Linked DNA regions of Saccharomyces cerevisiae S288C. Changing the gene in region 1 together with any one later gene gives a genetic interaction. Each region holds a gene or a part of one and is shown in the gene's direction. Other genes may lie near its edges. The genes, in order: UBC8, PDB1, AIM18 and YGL235W.

The links.
Region 2: mutations in UBC8 (region 1) and PDB1 together harm fitness more than expected from each alone (negative genetic interaction), as found in Saccharomyces cerevisiae (2 studies listed by BioGRID).
Region 3: mutations in UBC8 (region 1) and AIM18 together harm fitness more than expected from each alone (negative genetic interaction), as found in Saccharomyces cerevisiae (2 studies listed by BioGRID).
Region 4: mutations in UBC8 (region 1) and YGL235W together harm fitness more than expected from each alone (negative genetic interaction), as found in Saccharomyces cerevisiae (2 studies listed by BioGRID).

Annotation. Positions count from the first base shown.
Region 1 is NC_001137.3:128,673-133,068, forward strand, and holds UBC8 (E2 ubiquitin-conjugating protein UBC8), read left to right. Parts: upstream 1-3,099; coding exon 3,100-3,104; intron 3,105-3,227; coding exon 3,228-3,879; downstream 3,880-4,396. Other genes in the region: protein anchor VAC8, read left to right, coding at 153-1,889. UniProt on the Saccharomyces cerevisiae protein: Catalyzes the covalent attachment of ubiquitin to other proteins. Required for the adaptation to the presence of glucose in the growth medium; mediates the degradation of enzymes involved in gluconeogenesis when cells are shifted to glucose-containing medium.
Region 2 is NC_001134.8:661,684-670,444, reverse strand, and holds PDB1 (pyruvate dehydrogenase (acetyl-transferring) subunit E1 beta), read left to right. Parts: upstream 1-4,191; coding exon 4,192-5,292; downstream 5,293-8,761. Other genes in the region: TDP1 (tyrosyl-DNA phosphodiesterase 1), read left to right, coding at 148-1,782; PCS60 (Pcs60p), read left to right, coding at 2,094-3,725; YBR221W-A (uncharacterized protein), read right to left, coding at 3,803-3,907; YBR220C (uncharacterized protein), read left to right, coding at 5,768-7,450; YBR219C (uncharacterized protein), read left to right, coding at 7,142-7,442, 7,864-7,946; PYC2 (pyruvate carboxylase 2), read left to right, coding at 8,196-8,761. UniProt on the Saccharomyces cerevisiae protein: The pyruvate dehydrogenase complex catalyzes the overall conversion of pyruvate to acetyl-CoA and CO(2).
Region 3 is NC_001140.6:495,815-504,377, reverse strand, and holds AIM18 (Aim18p), read left to right. Parts: upstream 1-7,097; coding exon 7,098-8,063; downstream 8,064-8,563. Other genes in the region: SMN1 (Smn1p), read right to left, coding at 182-1,990; PPX1 (exopolyphosphatase), read left to right, coding at 3,235-4,428; proteasome regulatory particle base subunit RPN10, read right to left, coding at 4,493-5,299; NBL1 (borealin), read left to right, coding at 5,519-5,591, 5,659-5,807; AIM46 (Aim46p), read left to right, coding at 5,956-6,888; RIX1 (Rix1p), read right to left, coding at 8,191-8,563.
Region 4 is NC_001139.9:53,338-56,315, forward strand, and holds YGL235W (uncharacterized protein), read left to right. Parts: upstream 1-1,941; coding exon 1,942-2,478; downstream 2,479-2,978. Other genes in the region: transcription activator HAP2, read right to left, coding at 1-191; tRNA modification protein MTO1, read right to left, coding at 450-2,459.

The DNA of each region.
Region 1 (4,396 bases):
TCTCCTACTTTTCCTTTTGTTGTTAAAATAAGGTATTATATATTTATACAACCCTATAAAAAGCAATTAGCCAATTTCCAATCCTACGAAGACAGGAACTGAGCAAACTATAAGGGTGTTCTTTCTTCTGTACTATATATACATTTGCAACTATGGGTTCATGTTGTAGTTGCTTGAAAGATTCTTCAGACGAGGCCAGTGTCTCACCAATTGCCGATAATGAAAGAGAAGCGGTGACTTTATTACTAGGGTATTTGGAGGATAAAGACCAATTAGACTTTTACTCTGGTGGTCCACTAAAGGCCCTAACTACTTTGGTGTATTCAGATAATCTAAATTTGCAAAGGAGCGCCGCTCTGGCATTCGCAGAAATTACTGAAAAATACGTCCGTCAGGTCTCTAGAGAGGTACTGGAACCCATCTTAATATTATTACAAAGCCAAGATCCACAGATTCAAGTGGCCGCTTGTGCAGCCTTGGGTAATTTGGCCGTTAATAATGAAAATAAATTATTAATTGTGGAAATGGGAGGCTTAGAGCCATTAATAAACCAAATGATGGGTGACAATGTAGAAGTTCAATGTAATGCTGTTGGATGCATTACCAATTTAGCCACAAGGGATGACAATAAACATAAGATTGCTACTTCTGGTGCTTTAATTCCATTGACTAAGCTAGCTAAATCCAAACATATAAGAGTTCAGAGAAATGCTACAGGTGCATTATTAAATATGACACATTCTGAGGAAAATAGAAAAGAATTGGTTAATGCAGGTGCTGTGCCTGTATTGGTATCTTTACTGTCGTCCACCGATCCTGATGTTCAGTACTATTGTACTACTGCTTTATCAAATATAGCAGTGGATGAAGCCAATCGCAAGAAGTTGGCTCAAACTGAGCCAAGATTGGTTTCCAAATTGGTTAGTCTGATGGATTCTCCATCTTCAAGGGTAAAATGTCAAGCTACTTTGGCTTTACGAAACCTAGCGTCCGATACAAGCTACCAATTAGAAATTGTAAGGGCTGGTGGGTTGCCTCATTTGGTAAAGTTGATTCAAAGTGATTCTATACCACTGGTTTTGGCTAGTGTGGCATGCATTAGAAACATTTCTATTCACCCTCTAAATGAAGGTTTAATTGTTGATGCAGGTTTCTTAAAACCATTAGTAAGATTGTTGGACTATAAGGATTCAGAAGAAATTCAATGTCACGCCGTATCTACTTTGAGAAATTTGGCTGCATCATCTGAAAAAAACAGAAAAGAGTTCTTCGAAAGTGGTGCTGTCGAAAAATGTAAGGAACTGGCTCTAGATTCACCTGTTAGTGTTCAAAGTGAAATTTCCGCATGTTTTGCTATTTTAGCCCTAGCAGATGTCTCCAAATTGGATCTACTGGAAGCAAATATCTTAGATGCTTTAATCCCTATGACTTTTTCCCAGAACCAAGAAGTTTCTGGTAATGCTGCTGCTGCTTTGGCAAATCTATGTTCAAGAGTGAATAATTATACAAAAATTATTGAAGCATGGGATCGTCCGAATGAAGGCATTCGTGGATTTCTGATTAGATTTTTGAAAAGTGACTATGCTACCTTTGAACACATTGCGCTATGGACAATTTTACAATTGCTAGAAAGTCATAATGATAAAGTGGAAGATTTGGTTAAAAATGATGACGACATCATTAACGGAGTGAGAAAAATGGCAGATGTGACCTTTGAGCGTTTACAAAGATCAGGAATTGATGTTAAAAATCCGGGGAGCAACAACAATCCAAGCTCGAATGATAACAACAGTAATAACAATGACACAGGATCTGAACATCAACCTGTAGAGGATGCAAGTTTGGAATTGTATAATATTACTCAACAGATTTTACAATTTTTACATTGATTTTCTTCAAAAGCGGGACTAGGCATTATAATTTTTATCAAAATTTTCTTCTCAGAAGTTTTATTTTCTTTCTCTCCATTTCTTCCATCTTTTTAATCTTTGTTTCCTTTTTTTACATCATATTACTTCTACCTACTCTACTCTATTCTAATTTCAATTGATTTTTTTTATTTTATTTTTTTTTTTGTTAATAAAAGAAGAAAAAACTTAAAAACGAATAAGAGGCTGTCTTTGTTCCGTAGTATATGCCTATTTCCTTCTAGAAGTTTGAAGTGTCGTAAATTTTACCTACGGATAATGTTCGTTACATTGTTGAATGGCAACTGTAGTGAGGTAATGTTCAAAAAGTGAGAAAGCGGGAGAGAAGGGCTACATACAAAAACCAATTCTAGATAACATCTATATCTTCGTTTTTAGAATATATTGTAATAAAACACAATTGATAATACAGTTCTCTCTTCGTCCTCTGATGGTGGGAGATCTATTAAAAATACAAGTTAGCTGAGCGGGGGAAAAAAATAGGTCTTACCCGGATTCGAACCGGGGTTGTTCGGATCAAAACCGAAAGTGATAACCACTACACTATAAAACCTCTTAATTATTGATTTCCACAATAATTTTATCATATATCAACACTATTCTTCACATAGTTTTTTTAATCCCGGTGTCTCTCATCTGCTAATGAAAATACGTTCACTCATATTTCATGCACCTTCCAGTAGACTGACCCTTCATAAGGTTAAGAATATCATGGGGAAATTATCGCAATGCATGTCTCTTAAAGAATACAAGAATATATAAAGGCGAATCAACGATTCTTCACGATAATTTGTTTTCCTCTTAATCACACAGCAGTCTGAATTCTATCAGTGGCACATTAATCCTTGTTTCAATGCTCGTGTGCACATCTGCGTAAATATACATTCTTACGTTTTCTTATTTAATAATAGTAGGTTGAGCTTCGTCCACCGGGTAATGCTCCCGGAGCAGTGGAATTAAAAAAAAAAAGGGTGAGCACCGGAAACAGCTATCTGCGCTTAAGTATCACTAACGTAAAGCATAGGTAGGATTTCCAGTTCTGCCACATTTGATAAATAGTGTAATCCGTAATTATCAAGCGAGATAGTTTTCGAATATAATTTAGAAGTAAGAGCAAAATATTAATAGTATTTCATAAGGAATATTGGAAGAAAGGAGCGTAATACGAAAGATGAGGTATGTTTGATAAGATATATACGTATATTTATATATCACTCTTCTGAGAAAGTATGCCATAGAATGAGGATCACTAACAAAGAAAATGTCAATGAACTTCAAAGATATCGTTTAATGAAACAGTAGCTCTAAAAGAAGGATCGAGACAGATGTTATGAAACTGTTGATGAGTGATCATCAAGTGGATTTAATCAATGATAGCATGCAAGAGTTTCATGTAAAGTTCTTGGGACCAAAGGATACACCCTACGAAAATGGGGTTTGGAGGTTACATGTAGAGTTGCCGGATAATTACCCATACAAGTCGCCAAGCATAGGGTTCGTTAACAAGATATTCCATCCTAACATTGATATCGCATCGGGGTCCATATGTTTGGACGTAATTAACTCTACATGGTCGCCTTTATATGATCTGATAAATATAGTGGAGTGGATGATACCAGGTTTATTAAAGGAGCCTAATGGTAGCGATCCCTTGAATAACGAAGCTGCCACATTGCAATTACGAGATAAAAAACTGTATGAGGAAAAAATCAAAGAGTATATAGACAAGTATGCTACAAAGGAAAAGTACCAACAAATGTTTGGCGGAGATAATGATAGCGATGACAGTGATAGCGGCGGTGATTTACAAGAAGAGGACAGTGATTCTGATGAAGATATGGATGGCACTGGTGTTTCCAGTGGCGATGATAGCGTAGATGAGTTAAGCGAGGATCTAAGTGACATAGATGTCAGTGATGACGATGACTACGACGAAGTCGCAAATCAATAATTTCGAGCACACACATATATATATATATATATATATGTATGTATGTATAAGTATATATGATGGCATACTATACCACACGTACGACTATAATTACAAACAACTATCAAGCAACTACAAGGATCTCTGTGGGCTAGTGGCCTGCGGGCTCAATTTTGCTCTTGTTCCTGAACGGTGAATTCTGTAGTCTGTCATCCAGGGGAAGGGCAGGGCACTCATCAACAATGTGATAGTCAGAAAGCAATAATGTTTTGTATTCTGATGAGCTTTCACTATCTCTTCCGCAATACCCCTTTTTGCCTATATTACGGCATCATCTTTCCCCGCGTTCTCGTGGGGGCCAAATAAGCTTTGTCCAAGGGGCTGTTGCAACGGTAAAGGTAGTCGAGCCAAGTGACACCAGCAAACAAGGAAACAAGGAAGCAAGGAAGGCTTTCCATTTTCCAATAACGACATGAGTCTATCTATGGTGTATAAAAGTGGCAGGCTTTTCCTACATTTTTTTTCCCTGATAACTTCC
Region 2 (8,761 bases), on another chromosome or scaffold:
GGTATGGATCCCTTCTGATGTATTTTCGGCGGCCGCACTAAACTGCGAAAATGGTAATTTAATAAAGGGCTTATAAAGAGGAAAATAATGCAGAGAAACGGTGAGCCCAGACAAGAATGATGATAATGTGTTTTCAACCGATCATTAATGTCACGAGAAACAAATTTCAATGGAACTAAGAGGAAGAGGTCGGATGTTGCCGAGAAAGTAGCACAACGGTGGAAGAGCGTCAGGTATAGTGCTGAAATGGAGAATATGGCTCCGGTCAACAGTAACAATGATAGCGACGACTGCGTCATAGTCAGTGAATCGAAAATCATTGATTTGACTAATCAGGAACAAGATTTGAGTGAGAGAATAGAAACAAACGATACGGCAAAAGGTGCCGTTTTTAAACTAATGAAATCGGACTTCTATGAAAGAGAGGATTTTATGGGAGAAGTAGAGGATATGATTACATTGAAAGATATCTTTGGCACTGAGACACTAAAAAGAAGCATACTCTTCAGTTTCCAATACGAACTTGATTTCTTGTTGAGACAATTCCACCAGAACGTAGAGAACATAACCATCGTCGGCCAAAAGGGTACTATTATGCCTATCGAAGCCCGTGCTATGGACGCGACACTGGCAGTAATATTAAAAAAGGTCAAACTTATTGAAATAACGATGCCCCCATTCGCTTCCCACCATACGAAGCTGATCATAAACTTTTACGATAATGGCGAATGCAAAATATTCTTGCCATCTAACAATTTTACGTCAATGGAGACTAACCTGCCTCAACAGGTGTGTTGGTGCAGTCCCCTTTTGAAAATAGGTAAAGAAGGGCTACCAGTACCGTTTAAGAGAAGCTTGATAGAATACCTCAATTCGTACCACCTGAAAGACATTGACGAATTGATTACAAAAAGCGTAGAGGAAGTTAACTTTGCTCCTTTGAGCGAATTAGAATTTGTATATTCTACGCCCTCCAAATTTCAGTCGTCGGGTTTACTGTCGTTTTACAATAAACTAGAAAAACTTTCTGCTGGCACAAGTGCTAGTGATACTGCAAAACATTATCTATGTCAAACTTCATCCATAGGGACATCTCTATCAAGAGCGCGAGACGAAAACTTATGGACACATCTAATGATTCCTCTGTTTACCGGAATCATGTCCCCTCCAGCAAAGGACACCGCTGGGAGGAAGAAAGCAGAAATACTGCCAACGAATTCATTGATTAATGAATATTCGCAGAGAAAAATCAAGCCGTACATTATTTTCCCCACCGAACAAGAGTTTGTCACCAGTCCCTTAAAGTGGTCCAGTTCCGGGTGGTTTCATTTTCAATATCTTCAGAAAAAGAGCTACTACGAAATGCTGCGAAACAAGTTCAAAGTATTTTACAAGCAAGACCCTGCTATGGTTACTAGAAGACGAGGGACGACGCCCGCGCACTCTAAGTTTTACATGCATTGTGCAACAAACTCCGCAGGGCCCTGTGATGCATCGCAGGTATTTAAAGAACTAGAATGGTGCCTTTATACTTCGGCAAACCTCAGCCAAACAGCATGGGGCACCGTTTCAAGAAAACCACGCAATTATGAAGCAGGAGTGCTTTACCATAGTCGCAGGTTAGCAAATACCAGGAAGGTCACGTGCCGTACTTTTACACGTGACCGTAGAGGCTGCGCGGGTAATCCCACCCATGTGGCCGTGCCATTCACGCTGCCAGTCATACCATACGACTTAGCTGAGGACGAGTGCTTTTGCCTTGCTCGTCATGAGAACGACTAACAAGTAAGAGCGCGATGTTGCTGTCCACTTAGGCATCACTATATGGGGCCAGGAATGGCAAATTTACTTGATAAACTTCAGGCGATTGGATTTTGGTGCTCAGAATATTTTTTTCTCGGGCCGAAAGCGTCTTTAACTATTCCGAGCTAAAGCTTCCGAGTCCTTTATTCGGTCTTTTTTTATTTTTCAAGATTAACTGTATATAAATAGAGATGGTATGATTAAAAGCTCTTTTTAATAGATGCTCCTTCTTGAAATTTACTCCCACTGTGCTGCAAGAGGTTAGACGCTTCACGCACATTTTTGCTACAATGACAAGTGCCGCTACTGTTACTGCTTCGTTCAACGATACTTTTAGCGTATCCGATAATGTCGCCGTTATTGTTCCTGAAACGGACACTCAGGTGACCTACAGGGATCTATCCCACATGGTGGGTCACTTCCAGACCATGTTCACAAATCCTAATTCTCCATTGTACGGAGCTGTTTTCAGACAAGATACAGTGGCGATATCCATGCGTAATGGGCTGGAATTTATCGTCGCTTTCCTCGGTGCTACTATGGACGCTAAAATTGGCGCGCCCTTGAATCCCAATTATAAGGAAAAGGAGTTCAATTTTTATTTGAATGACCTGAAATCTAAGGCGATTTGCGTCCCAAAGGGTACCACAAAGTTACAGAGTTCTGAAATTCTAAAATCTGCCTCCACGTTTGGATGTTTTATCGTAGAGCTGGCCTTCGATGCGACCAGGTTTAGGGTAGAGTATGATATATACTCTCCAGAGGACAACTACAAAAGGGTTATTTACCGGTCTTTGAACAACGCCAAATTTGTCAACACAAATCCCGTTAAATTCCCTGGGTTTGCCCGTTCCAGTGACGTTGCCCTGATTTTGCATACCAGTGGTACCACCTCCACTCCAAAAACGGTGCCTTTGTTACATTTGAACATTGTGAGAAGCACGTTGAACATTGCTAACACTTACAAGCTAACGCCCTTGGACAGATCTTATGTCGTGATGCCTCTTTTCCACGTCCATGGGTTAATTGGTGTTTTACTTTCCACTTTTAGAACTCAGGGTTCTGTTGTGGTTCCCGATGGATTCCATCCAAAGTTATTCTGGGACCAATTTGTTAAGTACAACTGTAATTGGTTCAGTTGCGTTCCCACAATAAGCATGATTATGCTGAACATGCCCAAACCAAACCCTTTCCCACACATTAGATTCATCAGATCGTGTTCTTCTGCTTTGGCTCCAGCAACGTTCCATAAGCTGGAGAAGGAATTCAATGCACCTGTCTTGGAGGCCTATGCGATGACCGAAGCATCACATCAAATGACCTCAAACAATCTGCCTCCAGGAAAGAGAAAGCCTGGTACTGTGGGCCAGCCACAAGGAGTCACCGTCGTCATTCTAGATGACAATGACAATGTCTTGCCCCCGGGCAAAGTCGGCGAAGTTTCCATCAGAGGCGAAAACGTCACTTTGGGGTATGCTAATAATCCAAAAGCTAACAAGGAGAACTTCACCAAGAGAGAGAACTATTTCAGAACCGGTGACCAAGGTTATTTCGACCCTGAGGGGTTTTTGGTCCTTACAGGCAGAATCAAAGAGCTTATCAACAGGGGTGGTGAAAAGATTTCACCCATTGAGCTCGACGGCATTATGCTATCGCATCCAAAGATCGATGAAGCCGTTGCATTTGGTGTTCCCGACGATATGTACGGCCAAGTAGTTCAAGCCGCCATTGTTTTGAAGAAGGGAGAAAAAATGACCTACGAAGAACTGGTGAACTTCTTAAAGAAGCACCTAGCCTCTTTCAAAATTCCAACCAAGGTGTACTTTGTTGATAAGCTACCAAAAACCGCTACAGGTAAAATCCAGAGAAGAGTTATCGCAGAAACTTTTGCTAAGAGCAGCAGAAATAAGAGTAAGTTGTAGGCAGTATCCTGTACAATTTTATGCTCTCTGAAAGCTTCTATCTGGCACCCGTTTATATACGCCAATACTTATGTATTTTATCTATCTAATGAAACCACAGTATTTATCATGCCTAAGCTGATTCTTTTTCGTCGCGGCTGTTTCCGGGGTCTGTTTTCCGAGACTTCGAAGTGGGAGAACATGCAAAAGAGACGAGTCTTCAACTAAGAAGTTCTCCGTCATTAAAAGTCATGCGTTTGCACGTTTGCAATAAAAAGAGGTGTATCTACATATACAGGTTAACGATTGCAACAGCGACTCTTGATATTATCTCTGTCAAGTTTCTTCCTTTTGTTAGACTAATTTAGTATCATTTACACACTCGGACGTTAAATTCCGCCTCCCTCATAACAGTTCCTGTGTTTGTTCATTGATAATCGATCGCAGTTTAGTAAGTTCTTTTACTTTTGCAATAATTTTGTTCAACATGTTTTCCAGACTGCCAACATCATTGGCCAGAAATGTTGCACGTCGTGCCCCAACTTCTTTTGTAAGACCCTCTGCAGCAGCAGCAGCATTGAGATTCTCATCAACAAAGACGATGACCGTCAGAGAGGCCTTGAATAGTGCCATGGCGGAAGAATTGGACCGTGATGATGATGTCTTCCTTATTGGTGAAGAAGTTGCACAATATAACGGGGCTTATAAGGTGTCAAAGGGTTTATTGGACAGGTTCGGTGAACGTCGTGTGGTTGACACACCTATTACCGAATACGGGTTCACAGGTTTGGCCGTTGGTGCCGCTTTGAAGGGTTTGAAGCCAATTGTAGAGTTTATGTCGTTCAATTTCTCTATGCAAGCTATCGATCATGTTGTCAATTCCGCTGCAAAGACTCACTACATGTCTGGTGGTACTCAAAAATGTCAAATGGTCTTCAGAGGTCCTAATGGTGCTGCAGTGGGTGTTGGTGCTCAACATTCACAGGACTTTTCTCCTTGGTACGGTTCCATTCCAGGGTTAAAGGTCCTTGTCCCTTATTCTGCTGAAGATGCTAGGGGTTTGTTAAAGGCCGCCATCAGAGATCCAAACCCTGTTGTATTTTTAGAGAACGAATTGTTGTACGGTGAATCTTTTGAAATCTCAGAAGAAGCTTTATCCCCTGAGTTCACCTTGCCATACAAGGCTAAGATCGAAAGAGAAGGTACCGATATTTCCATTGTTACGTACACAAGAAACGTTCAGTTTTCTTTGGAAGCCGCTGAAATTCTACAAAAGAAATATGGTGTCTCTGCAGAAGTTATCAACTTGCGTTCTATTAGACCTTTAGATACTGAAGCTATCATCAAAACTGTCAAGAAGACAAACCACTTGATTACTGTTGAATCCACTTTCCCATCATTTGGTGTTGGTGCTGAAATTGTCGCCCAAGTTATGGAGTCTGAAGCCTTTGATTACTTGGATGCTCCAATCCAAAGAGTTACTGGTGCCGATGTTCCAACACCTTACGCTAAAGAATTAGAAGATTTCGCTTTCCCTGATACTCCAACCATCGTTAAAGCTGTCAAAGAAGTCTTGTCAATTGAATAAATAAACTTCAATCCAATAGGAAGGAGAGAAAGAAGGAGATAGGGAACTTTTTTCCCTGTACCCTACACTTTCTACCCTCTTCGCGGAAATAGTACTAATGAGAAAAACATAAATAATATTTTGCTAATCAAGACATGTATGGCGTACTGGTTATTAGTAGATATATAACTGCAAATACACACATACATACAATGTATATATTTTGTTTTTACAAAATTGAATGAGATAAGTACTGTGCACATTGAATGAGTTCCTGTTTCATGGTTAGAATACGCACATATTTATTTTCTTTTTTTTCTTTTCGACGACAGGCTGAATGAAAGAAAGAAAATAAAGATACTCTGGCATGCGAAAATAAGTGAAAAATAAATCGGCTATAATGCGTAAGCTACTGTGGGAAGCAGAAGCAAGACCTAAACGTTTGGTGAGGCAGTATAATATACCATAGTTATAGGGGGATAAAACAAAAGTAGGCATGGAACCTAAGCGAAAGAGCGGGTCACTAGCCAAGCATGATTTGCCGCAATTTTATCTTTTAATTATGTTATATTTGGCTCAAGGCATACCTGTAGGATTGGCCTTCGGTACCGTACCGTTTCTACTGAAATCTTTAGCAAAGGAGACCTCGTTTACATCACTGGGAATTTTCTCTATGGCTACATATCCATATTCTTTAAAGATCATATGGTCACCAATAGTAGACTCACTGTACAACAAGCGCATCGGTAGAAGAAGATCATGGATCATTCCAGTACAATTTGTTAGTGGATTTGTGCTATGGGCATTAGGGTGGTGCATATCACAAGGCATAATCTTCGATGGTGTCGACGATGCGTTCCATAATCGCGGTAATGGCACTTTACACAGTGTCAGTATAAAAAATTTGACGTGGTGGTTTGGCCTGTTAGTTTTTCTGTGTGCCACTCAAGACATCGCAGTTGATGGTTGGGCGTTGACGATTTTGTCCAAAGAATCCCTATCATATGCATCTACCGCGCAAACAATAGGTTTGAATATTGGTTATTTTATGTCATTTACCATTTTCCTGTCGTTGAATTCCTCTGATTTCGCCAATAAGTATTTCAGAAACATCCCACTGGATCACGGGTTCATTAGTCTTGGTGGGTACATGAAATTCTCGGGCATGCTTTACATTGTAATAACCATATATATCATCTTTTGCACCAAGGAAAAACCCTACGTAGAGTATTTGCCCAAAGTGGAGCCCATAAATACAAGTGACGGAGGGTCAAAGCCGATAAGTATTGAGTATGACGACGGTGATGTGGTGTCAACTCAGAATACAAGCAGTATAAAGTACATTTACCGCTGCTTTATAAAAGTGTTGAAATTGAAGTCCGTAAGAAGCCTAGCCTTCATTCACATGATTTCGAAATTTGCCTTTCAATGCAACGAAGCCGCCACAAACCTGAAACTACTAGAGCAAGGCTTCAAAAGAGAAGACTTGGCTGTGACAGTACTCATAGACCTGCCGTTCGAAATCATATTTGGGTACTATGTTGTTAAATGGAGCTCCGACAAGGACCCCATGATTCGTGACAATAGAAGATTAAGAAACAGCACGGGCACCAACAAGGTCATCAAGTTCTTAGTTGGGGATGCCGGCGTTTTAACACCATGGTTGTGGGGCTTTTTGGGCCGTCTGGCAGCCGCGGTCTTGGGAAGTTACGTGGTGAAGCAATTCCCCAAGGATGGTGAAATATCCACGGGTTATTTTTGTCTCGTGATATTCCAGCACCTCTTAGGTTCCTTCATGAATACTGTCCAGTTCATTGGAATATCGGCCTTCCATACAAGAGTTGCAGACCCCGTGCTGGGTGGCACATATATGACATTGTTAAATACCCTCAGCAACTTCGGTGGGACATGGCCGCGGTTAATCATTATGTCCATGATCAACTACTTCACCGTGTATCAGTGCACTATTCCTGGCACAAATAAAGTATACGTAACTCACGGCGGCAGCATGCAAGCGTGCACCGAGCTTTTGAATGGCACCGTGACCATCCTGCGTGACGGCTATTACATCACCAATCTCATATGTATTGTAGTCGGACTTTTCCTATATTTTGGATATTTGAAAAGGAAAATCCTCCATTTACAAAGTCTGCCAATCAGTTCCTGGAGATGTACGTAACGACCCCTCAAACAAGAATTGTACGACATTACGTTCAAGAAAATTTTAACGAGTATCGTAATATTTACAAGATCTTTTTATGTACTACAGGAAGCAGAAACAAAATGAGTATCAATACCAGTGTAAATCTGTTAATGAGAATCATCACATTATCCCAGTTTTTTCCATGCAAGGGAAAAATATACTATACGACATTTCTATACTTTAATTATCAATTAAGGTCATCTTTCTGTACGAAAACTAACCACGATTGTCACTAACGACGTGTCCCTTACCCGACGCAGCTGCTGATAGCGTACCGCACAGGCACAGCCAGCTCTTCTGTGATTGGCAGAGAGGGGTCCTTCCTGCGGAAGACGCCGCAAAGGCACATATGACTAACCTTTTTTTTTTCGCAATTAATTTTCTAATAGTTTTTCATTTTTTTTTTACAATTTTGGCAGTTACGTCTCGAGCTATTTATTATAAGAGTCAGAATTGGCGCAGGGAGTGTTAAGTAAGAAGTACTCCCCATCGGATATTTCCTATTGTGTTTCTGTGATTTTTAGTCCTTTTTTCTTTTCTCTTACTTTCGGTATCCTTACTTGATTACATACATAAACAAGCCCCTCTTTTCTTCCAAACTCTTGTAGCTTACTATCTGTGGCCCGTCATTTGAGTTTGATTTTTTTGCCAATTACTATATTGCAAAATAAAGGACAGTTACTAGGAGAGAAAATAAGGGACATAGAGAACAAAATAAAATATGAGCAGTAGCAAGAAATTGGCCGGTCTTAGGGACAATTTCAGTTTGCTCGGCGAAAAGAATAAGATCTTGGTCGCCAATAGAGGTGAAATTCCGATTAGAATTTTTAGATCTGCTCATGAGCTGTCTATGAGAACCATCGCCATATACTCCCATGAGGACCGTCTTTCAATGCACAGGTTGAAGGCGGACGAAGCGTATGTTATCGGGGAGGAGGGCCAGTATACACCTGTGGGTGCTTACTTGGCAATGGACGAGATCATCGAAATTGCAAAGAAGCATAAGGTGGATTTCATCCATCCAGGTTATGGGTTCTTGTCTGAAAATTCGGAATTTGCCGACAAAGTAGTGAAGGCCGGTATCACTTGGATCGGCCCTCCAGCTGAAGTTATTGACTCTGTGGGTGACAAAGTCTCTGCCAGACACTTGGCAGCAAGAGCTAACGTTCCTACCGTTCCCGGTACTCCAGGACCTATCGAAACTGTGCAAGAGGCACTTGACTTCGTTAATGAATACGGCTACCCGGTGATCATTAAGGCCGCCTTTGGTGGTGGTGGTAGAGGTAT
Region 3 (8,563 bases), on another chromosome or scaffold:
ATATATCAATTATAAAAAAAGTGACAAGCATTATACATACAATTTTTCTTTTTTTTTCATGAAATGTGTAACCAGTGTGCCTCATTAGAGACAGGGACGAGAGAGCAAAGGTGCAATTTCCGCTGCAAATGAACTTTTTTAAACGATGTGCATAAATAAATAAAAAAAATGGCAGAATACTCTAAAATTGAGAAAAGTAATCCCGTAATAACTTTTTGGTTGAATCACCACCATAATGGGAGCAGTCATTGGTGGTCAAGTTCTCCATACGTAATCCTAAATCATTTATGATAGAATTTACGGCGTTTAATATATCGAGTTCCATAAAGGAATAGAAGATAACATGAACCATCTTCGACGGATCAGCTTCCTCTTCTTGCACTTTCTTCACCTCTTTACATTGCACTACATTGGGGATATCGTATTCTCTTTGTGAATTGTGAGGTGTGTCATCACCATGACACCCGAAATCGTCTTCTGTGGTGTAGCCTTCGCTTAAATTTGGATTATTGATGAAGGGACACTTCTGAAAACCGCCAAAATGCTGTTTGTGATGAGACGATGATGGTATTCCTAATGAGGCAATGACAGGGCCCTTGTTCAAATAGGTTTCCACCCTGGAGGCAACGACCAATGGAACTGTGATGAAGCGCCAATCATTATTGAATGGCATCACTATATACTCAGTATCCTTTGTAAATGGGCCTTTGTAAAGATCGTACCTGACAGAGCCAGTGTTAATCAAAATGAAACGACTCATCGAAGGTTCATAGTTTTTGGGAGGAATTAAATTGGGTAAAATCTTATGCGTGATCAAATGATAAAGATTCTCTTCGGAGTTTAATGGCCTTGTTGAAACGTAGTAAGTTTGAGGAATGTACCCCAGTTTCTCGTTCAAATTTAGTTCATGGCGCAGATCATTCACCAAACGAGAAATAGTTTTACCCTTTTTCGTTGAGACTGGAACATTCGAGTCATGCCCTAGTTTGCTCAAATGGTATTTGAAAGCTTCCTTGTTAAAGTCAATATACCTTCTTGAGAAAATAGGACTTTCGGCGTCCACAGGGTCAGTCATATTAATTGACAAGAATCCCACAGTTTCCGCAAATCTACCACTTTGTAAACAAGTAGATTTTGAGTCCAGCTGTACAAAATCCCTGATATGAGTGTGCCCTCCAAAATATTGTATAACAGTATTTGGGTAGTATTTCCTTATTAGAGCATGAATTTTGTGCATTTCACGCTCTGTAGGGTCAGTGGCAGGCAAATGACCAAAGACAATAATTAGGTCGATTTCCTCCTCTCTGTTTGTCTCAACCATATTTTGGAACCAGCTTTTTTGAGTTATTTCTTCCAATGGTGGTGTTACGATGGCTCTGTTATTTGCTCTTTGAAAACTAAACAAAAATGATAATGCCAGGACTCTTTGTTTCATTATGGGAGTCTCGAATGTAATGTATTTATTCCCGAAAGGAACCCTTGTTCCGTCATCTTCAATAAATTCTACGTTGCTGCAAACATATTTGTCTTTGAATTTTGAGGACTGAGAAGTTCCTCTATACTCTAGTATGGCACTTTCAGCTGTATATAGCTCATGATTACCTAACGTTAAAAGATCGTAATCCATCATGTTGAATATCTCCGAGCTTCGTAGGCCGGGGGGCCAAGTAGCATCACTCAAACCATTACCGTCTCGTTTGTCGCCAGTGTCGATGACTATTACGTCTCTGGACTGTCGTAAAATTTTTTCTCTAAGTATATCTACAAATGCAACGAAATCTCCCCAGTCAGCATCATAGTCGTTTTGTGATAGATGGGACCCCAACCAGCCATGAGTATCGGTTGTATGGATAAAATTTATATCCCCTATATGGATATCTCTTAATGGTACATCCTGCGACGGCGCTAAAACTGCCTGTTGTTGTTGATACGGCTTTGCAAAGATTAATCCTGTAAGAGCAACTAAACAGTGTACAAGCTTTAGTATCATTTTACACTGTTGCGCACACCTTTATTGCATTCACTCTCTTTGTTATTGCTGTAGTTCTTGTTGACGGCTTGAGGGGAAATAAGCTTATCGGCTTTTGCAATTGGCGGCTAGTTGGCGAAAGAGCGACTGATCGATAAGGACACTAAAGTAAAAAATAATATTAAAGATATACTGTAGAAATGTTTCATTATGGTTGTAATAATAATTTTACGTCATGCAATGGTTCAGATAGAAAGTTCGAGTTTGCTCTGGAACACAATTGTTTGTTTTCCTGCTTTCAAGTTAGTGCCATCTACTCTCTAACTACGGACGCCTTTACCGAAACCTATCTAGACAAATGTGTCTTTCTTGGAATAATATGAGCGTATATATGATAACGTTCGGGTGAACCTAATGCCTTGGTTCCTTACTCTATTTTGATCACTTCCTTTTTCGTTCGTTTATACATTTTGTTTCTTTTTACCAATATTCAACTTCTGAACACATAGATTTTAATTAAGATACAATTTGGCGAACTTAATTTGCAAACGATTTTACATGTAAGAAATTGTTGTACTGAAATCTTGATGTTAAAAAGTGTATGACTTTTACAACCTTTAGCAAGTATAATGGTTTGTGAAAAGAACCGTAAAATATAATCGTCATCTTAATAAGTTGCTAATGAATGATCACTGAAATTTCTACAGCAACAAAATTTATAACTCAAGTACAGTCGTGTTTTGCTTTCACTACGATCAATAGTATTATTATTACCGATGATTCCACTGTTAGTGTTATTATATTCAAGAGTGTACACTTCTCGCTAAGTAATGAAGAAATTTGCACATCTCATGTGTACACTCATTATACAAGATCACTTTCAACAAGCATTGAGTCACTAGAAAATTACAAATTATTTTCCCAGGAGGTGTAAAATGGCATATGTTTCTGCTGTCCTTGAAAAAAGTATGGAATAACCAGAAGCTTTGATAGAAAACGCCGAGGATAATACTCTGTGTAAAGCTCTAACCTTCATTCATTTTGTCACATTATCCACCTACTTGAATTCTAATTTAGAATACGAGTCGAAATAGTCTCGAAGAATAACTCACAACCTTTTTCCTATTATCTGTATGCTATACATGCCGCTGATTTTTCATTTTTTTCACTTTTAAGAGTAGAAAAAAGAAACGAAGTGTACATAATTAACTAAAGCCACTTGAAACAAATAATCAAAAAGTTCAAAACACCGATTGTTAAGAAAGATGTCGCCTTTGAGAAAGACGGTTCCTGAATTTTTGGCACACTTAAAATCACTGCCAATTTCAAAAATTGCAAGCAACGATGTGTTAACAATATGTGTTGGTAACGAGTCAGCAGATATGGACTCAATTGCTAGTGCAATCACTTATTCGTACTGCCAATACATATATAATGAAGGTACTTACTCGGAGGAGAAAAAGAAAGGAAGCTTTATTGTCCCAATTATCGACATTCCTAGAGAAGACCTCAGTTTAAGAAGAGACGTAATGTATGTCCTAGAAAAACTGAAAATTAAGGAGGAGGAATTATTCTTCATTGAAGATTTAAAGAGCTTGAAGCAAAATGTCTCCCAGGGTACTGAATTAAACTCTTACTTGGTAGATAATAACGATACACCAAAGAATTTGAAAAATTATATAGATAACGTCGTTGGCATTATAGACCACCATTTTGACTTGCAAAAACATTTGGATGCTGAACCTCGGATTGTAAAAGTGTCCGGCAGTTGCTCATCGCTGGTTTTTAACTACTGGTATGAAAAATTGCAAGGTGACCGTGAAGTGGTGATGAACATTGCACCACTTTTGATGGGGGCCATCTTAATAGACACTTCAAATATGAGGCGCAAAGTCGAGGAAAGTGATAAATTAGCTATCGAGAGATGCCAAGCTGTTCTTAGTGGTGCGGTTAATGAAGTGTCTGCGCAAGGTTTAGAGGACAGCAGTGAGTTTTATAAAGAGATAAAATCAAGAAAGAACGATATTAAAGGATTTTCGGTAAGCGATATTCTAAAGAAGGACTACAAACAATTCAATTTCCAAGGAAAGGGACACAAAGGGTTAGAGATTGGTCTTTCATCAATAGTAAAAAGAATGTCTTGGCTATTCAATGAACACGGTGGTGAAGCAGATTTCGTCAACCAATGCAGAAGATTTCAGGCGGAGAGGGGGCTCGATGTATTGGTTCTGTTGACTTCATGGAGGAAAGCTGGTGATTCACACAGAGAATTGGTCATATTGGGAGACTCTAACGTGGTACGTGAACTCATTGAAAGGGTTAGCGACAAGCTCCAACTTCAATTATTTGGGGGCAATCTTGATGGAGGTGTGGCGATGTTTAAGCAACTGAACGTCGAGGCCACCAGAAAGCAAGTCGTCCCCTATTTAGAGGAAGCGTACTCAAACCTGGAAGAGTGAAGGGAGATGTTATATATGCTTTATTTGGTTTATATATGACCCATATAGATATTTTTGTACACTACTATTTGTCTTGGTGTTGTTCAGGCTGTTCAGACTGCTCAGGCTGATCTTGTTGTTGTTGCTGCTGTCTTAACCTTTCCTGTCTTTGCTGCTCTTCTTCCATAGACAGACGCAAGGCCATTGCCAGTTCTGGGTCCATTGATGGGTCTACCCCGAAGTCCATAAATGTGCCATTGGCATCGGAATCACCGCCAGACCCACCAAAGGCGCCCATACCGGAGGATCCTTCTTCGAGAATTATGGGTGAAGATGCGATGTTCTCGTACAGCAGTCTGGGGCCAGGCGTCACAGTAAGCAAATGACTAGTTTCTTCTTGAGGGTTGTTCACTGCAGCTATGAACTCATCCAAAAGCTCCGTGTTCTGTTCAATCTCTCCAAAATTGATGATGTCCACGGCAACATTATTCTTTTTCAGTGTTTTTGCCAATCTGATCAATTCGTCTCGAGAATCACTTATTGGGCTACACACAAATGCCACAATCCTTTGATGTTGGACCTTATTCTGGCGATGCTTCAAAGTCAGCTGAGCGATCTGCAACGCAGTGGCCATATGCAGCTTACCCTCGATCTGCGTGTCGTGTAGTCCAGCAAGAATCTTCCCAAACTCGGCGGTAAACGTAGATAACACCCTGGGGTTGGCGCCAGCACCAGAGATAAGACCCACTGTATTCTCAGGATTGCTGTTTCTCTTGGCTTGAAATATGAACTCTACCGAGTCGATCTGGGCTTCAAACCTTGTCCTAGGAAAGTCGCCATTGCGAGAGTACTCTGAATTATCAATCACTAACACTGTAGCTTCCAATACCATTGTGCGGTTACTGCTGAGTTATTTATTGACTTTTCCCTTCTTTCTTTACGCTTTAAAAGTCTGATATAAGTGTGTATTTAGTTGTAAATTCCGGTGGCGAAAACCCGCCTGGCGGAAATAACCCGGCAGCTATAATGCCATATAACTTCAAGAGAATACAATTGTAAACAAGAAGTGGCAACAACATCAGCAAAAGGGCAGCTGCCGCACTCGGTTACGATGATACCGGCTCTCACTCCCGAAGAACGGCAGAAGTTGCGCAGCGCAATACTACATCGAATGCAGCTGGAACGTATGTCACCTCACCGCAACACTCTACCCCCAACCTTCACCCGCACTAATTACTAACACAACCTCAGTGGAAACAACAGAAAAACTGATCGAAAATATTAAAGAGGAGACGTTAAAGAAACTAAATCTGCTCCAGCAGCCTGATGCAACATCAGCGCCTCAATCAAAGGAACTAATCAGAGAGGTGCTTGAACAGGAAGGACGCCGTATAGAATGATTAGTTCGTATAATGGACCCTTTCTCGGTATTCGCAATGATGCACCTATTACTAATCAGCGGCCGATTTGTTGGTATTAAAGCAGCGTGTGGTTACATCCCCTTGTTGAATACATGTCTACTTAGCAGAAGGCCAGGTATATGGAAACATGCGTTTAATCAGTAAAGTTTTGGTGAAAACAAATTGCCTAGAGGTAGGTATGAGGAGGGCCCCACAATGGTATTCTCACTACTCTACTACAGCGGGCAATGCTCGTGTGAACAAGAAGGGCAGCAAAGTAGTGCCTGTGTTAACAGGGTTAGCACTGGCATCCATATTCGCGAAGAAATGGTATGACGATTCCCAGATCAAAAAGGCGGATGCCACCAGCGTTGCAGTGGACGCATCCATCTCTGCGTTCCCTAAGAAGATGGGCCCCCCACAGTGGCCCTTCTCCACGCAATATGAGCTGATTGGTAAGGGTGTACGTTGTGTCTCATCGATCACTTTCAAAGCATATGGTCTGGGCATATATGTGGCCGCTGAAGACAAACATCTGGTCTCTGAAGTACTGGACTCAAAGTTCCTGTCTCAGGCGTTCATCGACACTGCGGCACCCCCATCACCGGAAAACTCACATCAGGATAATTTGCGTGCGGCTTTGAACGATCCTGCTAAGGCCCCTATCCTGATTAATAACCTCTTAGACAGCGGAATCAGACTAATGTCCAAGAATACTCCGATAAAAGCAGGTTCCTTCAAGTTATTGATGGACGGCACCAAAAAGAGCGTCCTAAAGAACCCAGATTCTCAGTCTCAAGACAAAGACCGGCTGGAAGCTGGATTCCAAGAATTGCATGACTGTTTCAGGAGCGTAAAAGGACTTGTGGCTCGAGATGATGATTTTTTCATTGAGCTGAATAAGGACTGCTCTATGAATTTGTCTTACTACGCAAGAAAGAAGGATGAATTTGTGATATTGGGCACAGTGAAGGAACCCCTTATTGGAAAGCTCTTATTTGCCCACTACCTAGCTGCTGTGGATCCTCCTTCTCCGGAGGCTAGGAAGGAAGTAATCGATGCACTCGTCTCTCTATCTTAGGACACTTTCGCCGACTTCTACATACAATTACATAATACATACGCTGTTCCAAAAGCTGCACATATACTCTAATGATGTTTTTTTGAGTTTCCTTTCGACTCAATTTTTCTAGGAGGGACCCCTCAAAATGTTTACAATGCTATTCGGTTTTGACAAGAAAAAATCAATTCAAAACTCTTACGGCGTTACAACCGCGATAGAATCCCTTCATGGACAGAGGAAGGTGCGCCAATATGCTAAAATCACTCCAGCGAACACTAGCTAAATGTCAGAAATCTCCATCAACCAACCATTGGCAATGTTTCAAAAGAAATTTTACTAGTATACGAGCCACTAAATACCCTGGGCGTTCTAATTCGACGTTCCACTATTGGCCCTGGTTTGCGGCGTCAACATTGCTCGCTACTTCGTTATACTACCGTGATCGTCCGGTACAAAATGACGATAAAACTGATGCTTTTCCTTCTCATACTGAATCGATACAGGTAGACTCTAGCGTATCAGATTTCCCACTAACGATTACTGCTTTAAATTTCCCTGTCTCTACAACTTTTAAATTACTGGGATATGGTCAAAGGCACGTCACGTTTTTGAGGTTCAAGGTCTATGCCTTGGGTCTTTATCTAGCTGAAAATGACGAAAACCTTGTTTCAGACACTCTAAATGAAACTTATTTACATAAATATTTCCTTGATGTGGATGATTCTAAGACTCCTAAGGAGAATCTAGCTAGATTATTGAAACGTGATGACTCAAAATCCGTTATGATGATTGATGACTTACTGGATTCTGGAATGAGAATGCTAGCCAAGATAACTCCCGTAAGGAATACAGATTTTAAGCATCTTAAGGAGGGCCTGGTCAAAACTATTTCTAAACATCCCGATGTGGCCAATAATAAAGACACACTGGCGAAGGGCCTAAGTGAGTTAAATGATGCCTTTTCACGTAAGGGATCCGTCAGGAAAAATGACGATTTGATCATCGAATTATTAGCCAACGGCGCTTTACAATTTTCATATCATGACAGTAAAAACAACGAATTTGAGGTCATGGGAGTAGTTAATAATCAACTCGTCGGAAAATTCTTATTTAGCCAATATTTATGTGGCGAAAAATCTCCTTCTCCACAAGCCAAAAAAACAGCTATCGACAAATTGATCACACTCCTCTAAACTTTTAGAATTTAGTCTTGTTCATACCTCTACACTATTTTCATTCGTAAATGCCTATGTACAATTTTAGCATATGCATACATATATTCTAGTCGAAATATAACCAAACAAAATCTGGTTGATATTATTATTCTTCTTCTTCCTCCTCCTCTTCGTCATCACTTAATTCGATAGCGGGAATTTCAAACTCCTCCTGTTCTTCATCTTCACTGTCCTCCATTGGCTTCTCTTCTTCCTTAGTTTGGCTTACAGCTTTTTTTACAATCAATTCTTCGCCATTATCCACGGTTGTTTCTTCAACGAATTTCACTTTCTTATGTGAAGATGTAGACTCTCTTTCAATGACTTCTTCTACTGACCTTTTCTTGAATATGGCAGTATCATCGACGACCTTTGGGACTTCGTGTTTGGGTTCAGGGATTGTAACATTTTCCAAATTTTCTAACGCTTTTAAAGTCTCCAGGCCAGTATTGGCGTTTGAGGATGATTCGTTCGTTTCA
Region 4 (2,978 bases), on another chromosome or scaffold:
TCTTCATTTGTAACCCGTTGATCTTCGCCTCTTGGAGAAGGCGCTTTTCCCATATCCAAGGGCATCTCTATGGGCTTCTCTTGAAGAGAGGGACTGCGTGAAGCTGCTGCCGTTGATGTTGCAGCCGCTGTATCAGATTGCAGATCTGTTTCTAATGGATGAAATTTCGCATCCGTTTCGTCTGCTGACATGGCGTTCTTGTTCCTCTTCCAAAAAGAAATGCTTTTCCAAATACAGATGCGATTAGTAAATCAAATTATAAACGACAGTGAGTTGCCCTTTTGCAAGTACCTTCAACACAAACACTTTATTTATTCATCGAGGTCCCCTTGTAAGGGAGAATTAATGTTACGATACAAGAAGTTTTCCGGGTAAGATTGCTAAATAACGAATTTGATGGTTACATACAATGAATTATTTACATATACAAGCTAACGATTAAAGGATATTTACATGACTGGTTGGCTTGGCTTCCGTGCCACACGGTAGAGTTCAAATAGGGCTGCCGCAGTGATACCTTGAATCCGTCTTGCTTGGCCTATGGTCAATGGCTGTACGCGGTTCAAGAGTAGTTTGCATTCAGTGGAAAGCGTGGGTAACTGACGGTAATCGTAATCTTGCGGCAACAGCATATTTTCGTCTGCCTGAAATGCCTTCACAAACTGGTTCTGTTTGACAATGTAAGGTTCGTATTTACCTTGAATGTTAATTTTGGTGACAACATGCATTGGGATGTCCAGCAAATTAATGGGTAAATCGGGAATGCACTCGTAGAGTTTATGTAGATCCATATCTTTGAATCTGAATATTTCCCAAGCAGATCTGTTTTCAGCCTGTGGCGCGATATTAGCCTGTAGTAAGCTAGACCATTTTTGAGAGCTTAGCTTGAAATTTTGAAGCGCCCGTATTGTTTCATCATATAGGTGCTTGTCTCTTGAATATTGACTTAAACGGACAGGAGATATAATCCCTAGTTGAGCACCAATGGGCGTCAGTCTGAAGTCTGCGTTATCGGCTCTTACGCTGATTCTGAATTCTGATCTGGAAGTAAACATTCTATATGGTTCTATGACGCCATTATTGATTAGATCGTCAATGAGCACACCAATGTACGCTTCGGACCTTTTCAAGACCAATTGCTCCCGTTCTTGGCGCGATAGTAATCCTGCATTGATACCTGCAATGATCCCCTGTGCAGCGGCTTCCTCGTAGCCTGTAGTACCATTTATTTGTCCGGCCAAGAATAGTCCATCCACCAATTTTGTTTCCAAGCTAGGCTTTAATTGCCGTGGGTCTACGTAGTCGTATTCCACGCCGTATGCCGGCTGCAAGATCTCAACGTTTGCCATGCCCGGGATGAGCCTCATCATTTGTAACTGGACATCCTCAGGCATAGAATTGGATATCCCGTTCGGATAAATGACGTCGGAGTTGAAACCTTCTGGTTCCAACCATATCTTATGGGAAGATCTATCAGGAAACCTTAGAATCTTAGCTTCGATGGAGGGACAATAGCGGGGGCCTTTGATGGTCGTGTCCTGAATATGAATGGATTGATGCAAGTTATTGCGCAAAAAGTCGTGCATTTGAGGTGTGGTATGTGTGCCAAAGCAATCCAGTTGCTTCGTGGGTTCGACTGACACGGTTTCATTCAGAAAACTCATAGGGACAGGCAACGCATCTCCCTTCTGGACCTCCAGAGCGCTGAAATCAATGGATTCCTTGGCCAGCCTAGCCGGAGTGCCTGTTTTCAAACGCCCTAACTGAAAGCCCACCTCATTTTGTAGAGTATTGCTGATCCCATATGTTGGCTGCTCGCCAATTCTTCCTGCTGCAATACGCTTGTCGCCGATGTGAATTTCTGCACTGAGAAACGTACCTGTAGTGATTATGACCTGATCTGCCCCAACCTGGGTACCGTCATCCAGAACCACACCTTTGATGACCTTGTGGCCACATCCGGGGTCATACAAGATCAAGTCAGCAACTTTGTTCTGCAGCAGAGACAAGTTGGGGTGTGCTTTCTTGTCGGAAAGTTCCCTTTGCATGTATTTCTTATATAACTCTCTGTCTATCTGGGCTCTGGGCCCCCACACAGCAGGACCCTTGCTTCTGTTCAGCATTTTGAATTGCACTCCAGCGAGATCAGTTACTTTGCCCATCAGCCCATCGAGAGCGTCGATTTCCTTTACAAGGATGCCCTTACCCACTCCACCAATAGAGGGGTTGCACGAACACTTACCAATATCTGTTAACGATGGTGTAATGAGAGTAGTATGCGCACCAGTCCTAGATGACGCAGCTGCAGCTTCGCAGCCTGCATGTCCAGCACCGATGACCACGACCTGTGTCTTGGTTGTGGGTTGGAAGCTTGTCAAAGAAGATATGGTCAACCGCCTCCTGAGGACCTGTAAGGGAAATGAAGTACACGAAGACGCCAAGGTTGTTACACGCAGCATCGTTCTTTGGGGCGTTTAGCTGGTATTCTGCAGAAACTATTGGATGCCCTCAAGATTTAAGTGAAGAATTAAACCGCACTTATCCGTCTGTGAAAGATGCCACCATACGTTACCAACCATAAAGAAAGTGGCCGCACACAGGTACCTTAGAGAAGCCACAAGGGCTCGATTACACGGTGGCGATCAAGAGCCATACAAAAGTAGAAGACCCCCGGATGAAGAAGCACCTCTTTGTACGTTCCTTCTGCAACGCCATATCTAAGTAACAAGAAAGAAGCCACAGCATTACTACAACCCCACACAGGGACAGACAGATATCATAAACTTGAATCTACTATATCATACTCTAATAACTACCTAAGCGTTAAGAAATCGTCTAATCTTCAACTGCCGTTGTTCATACCGTGACTAATAGTGGCAGTAAGCAGCTTTTTTTTTTTTTCAAAATTTTTCATTTTTTTTTTCAGTTGACTCGCCCCGTCGGTAGTGACAAGTGCCGACTGACTCGTGTCCTGGTAA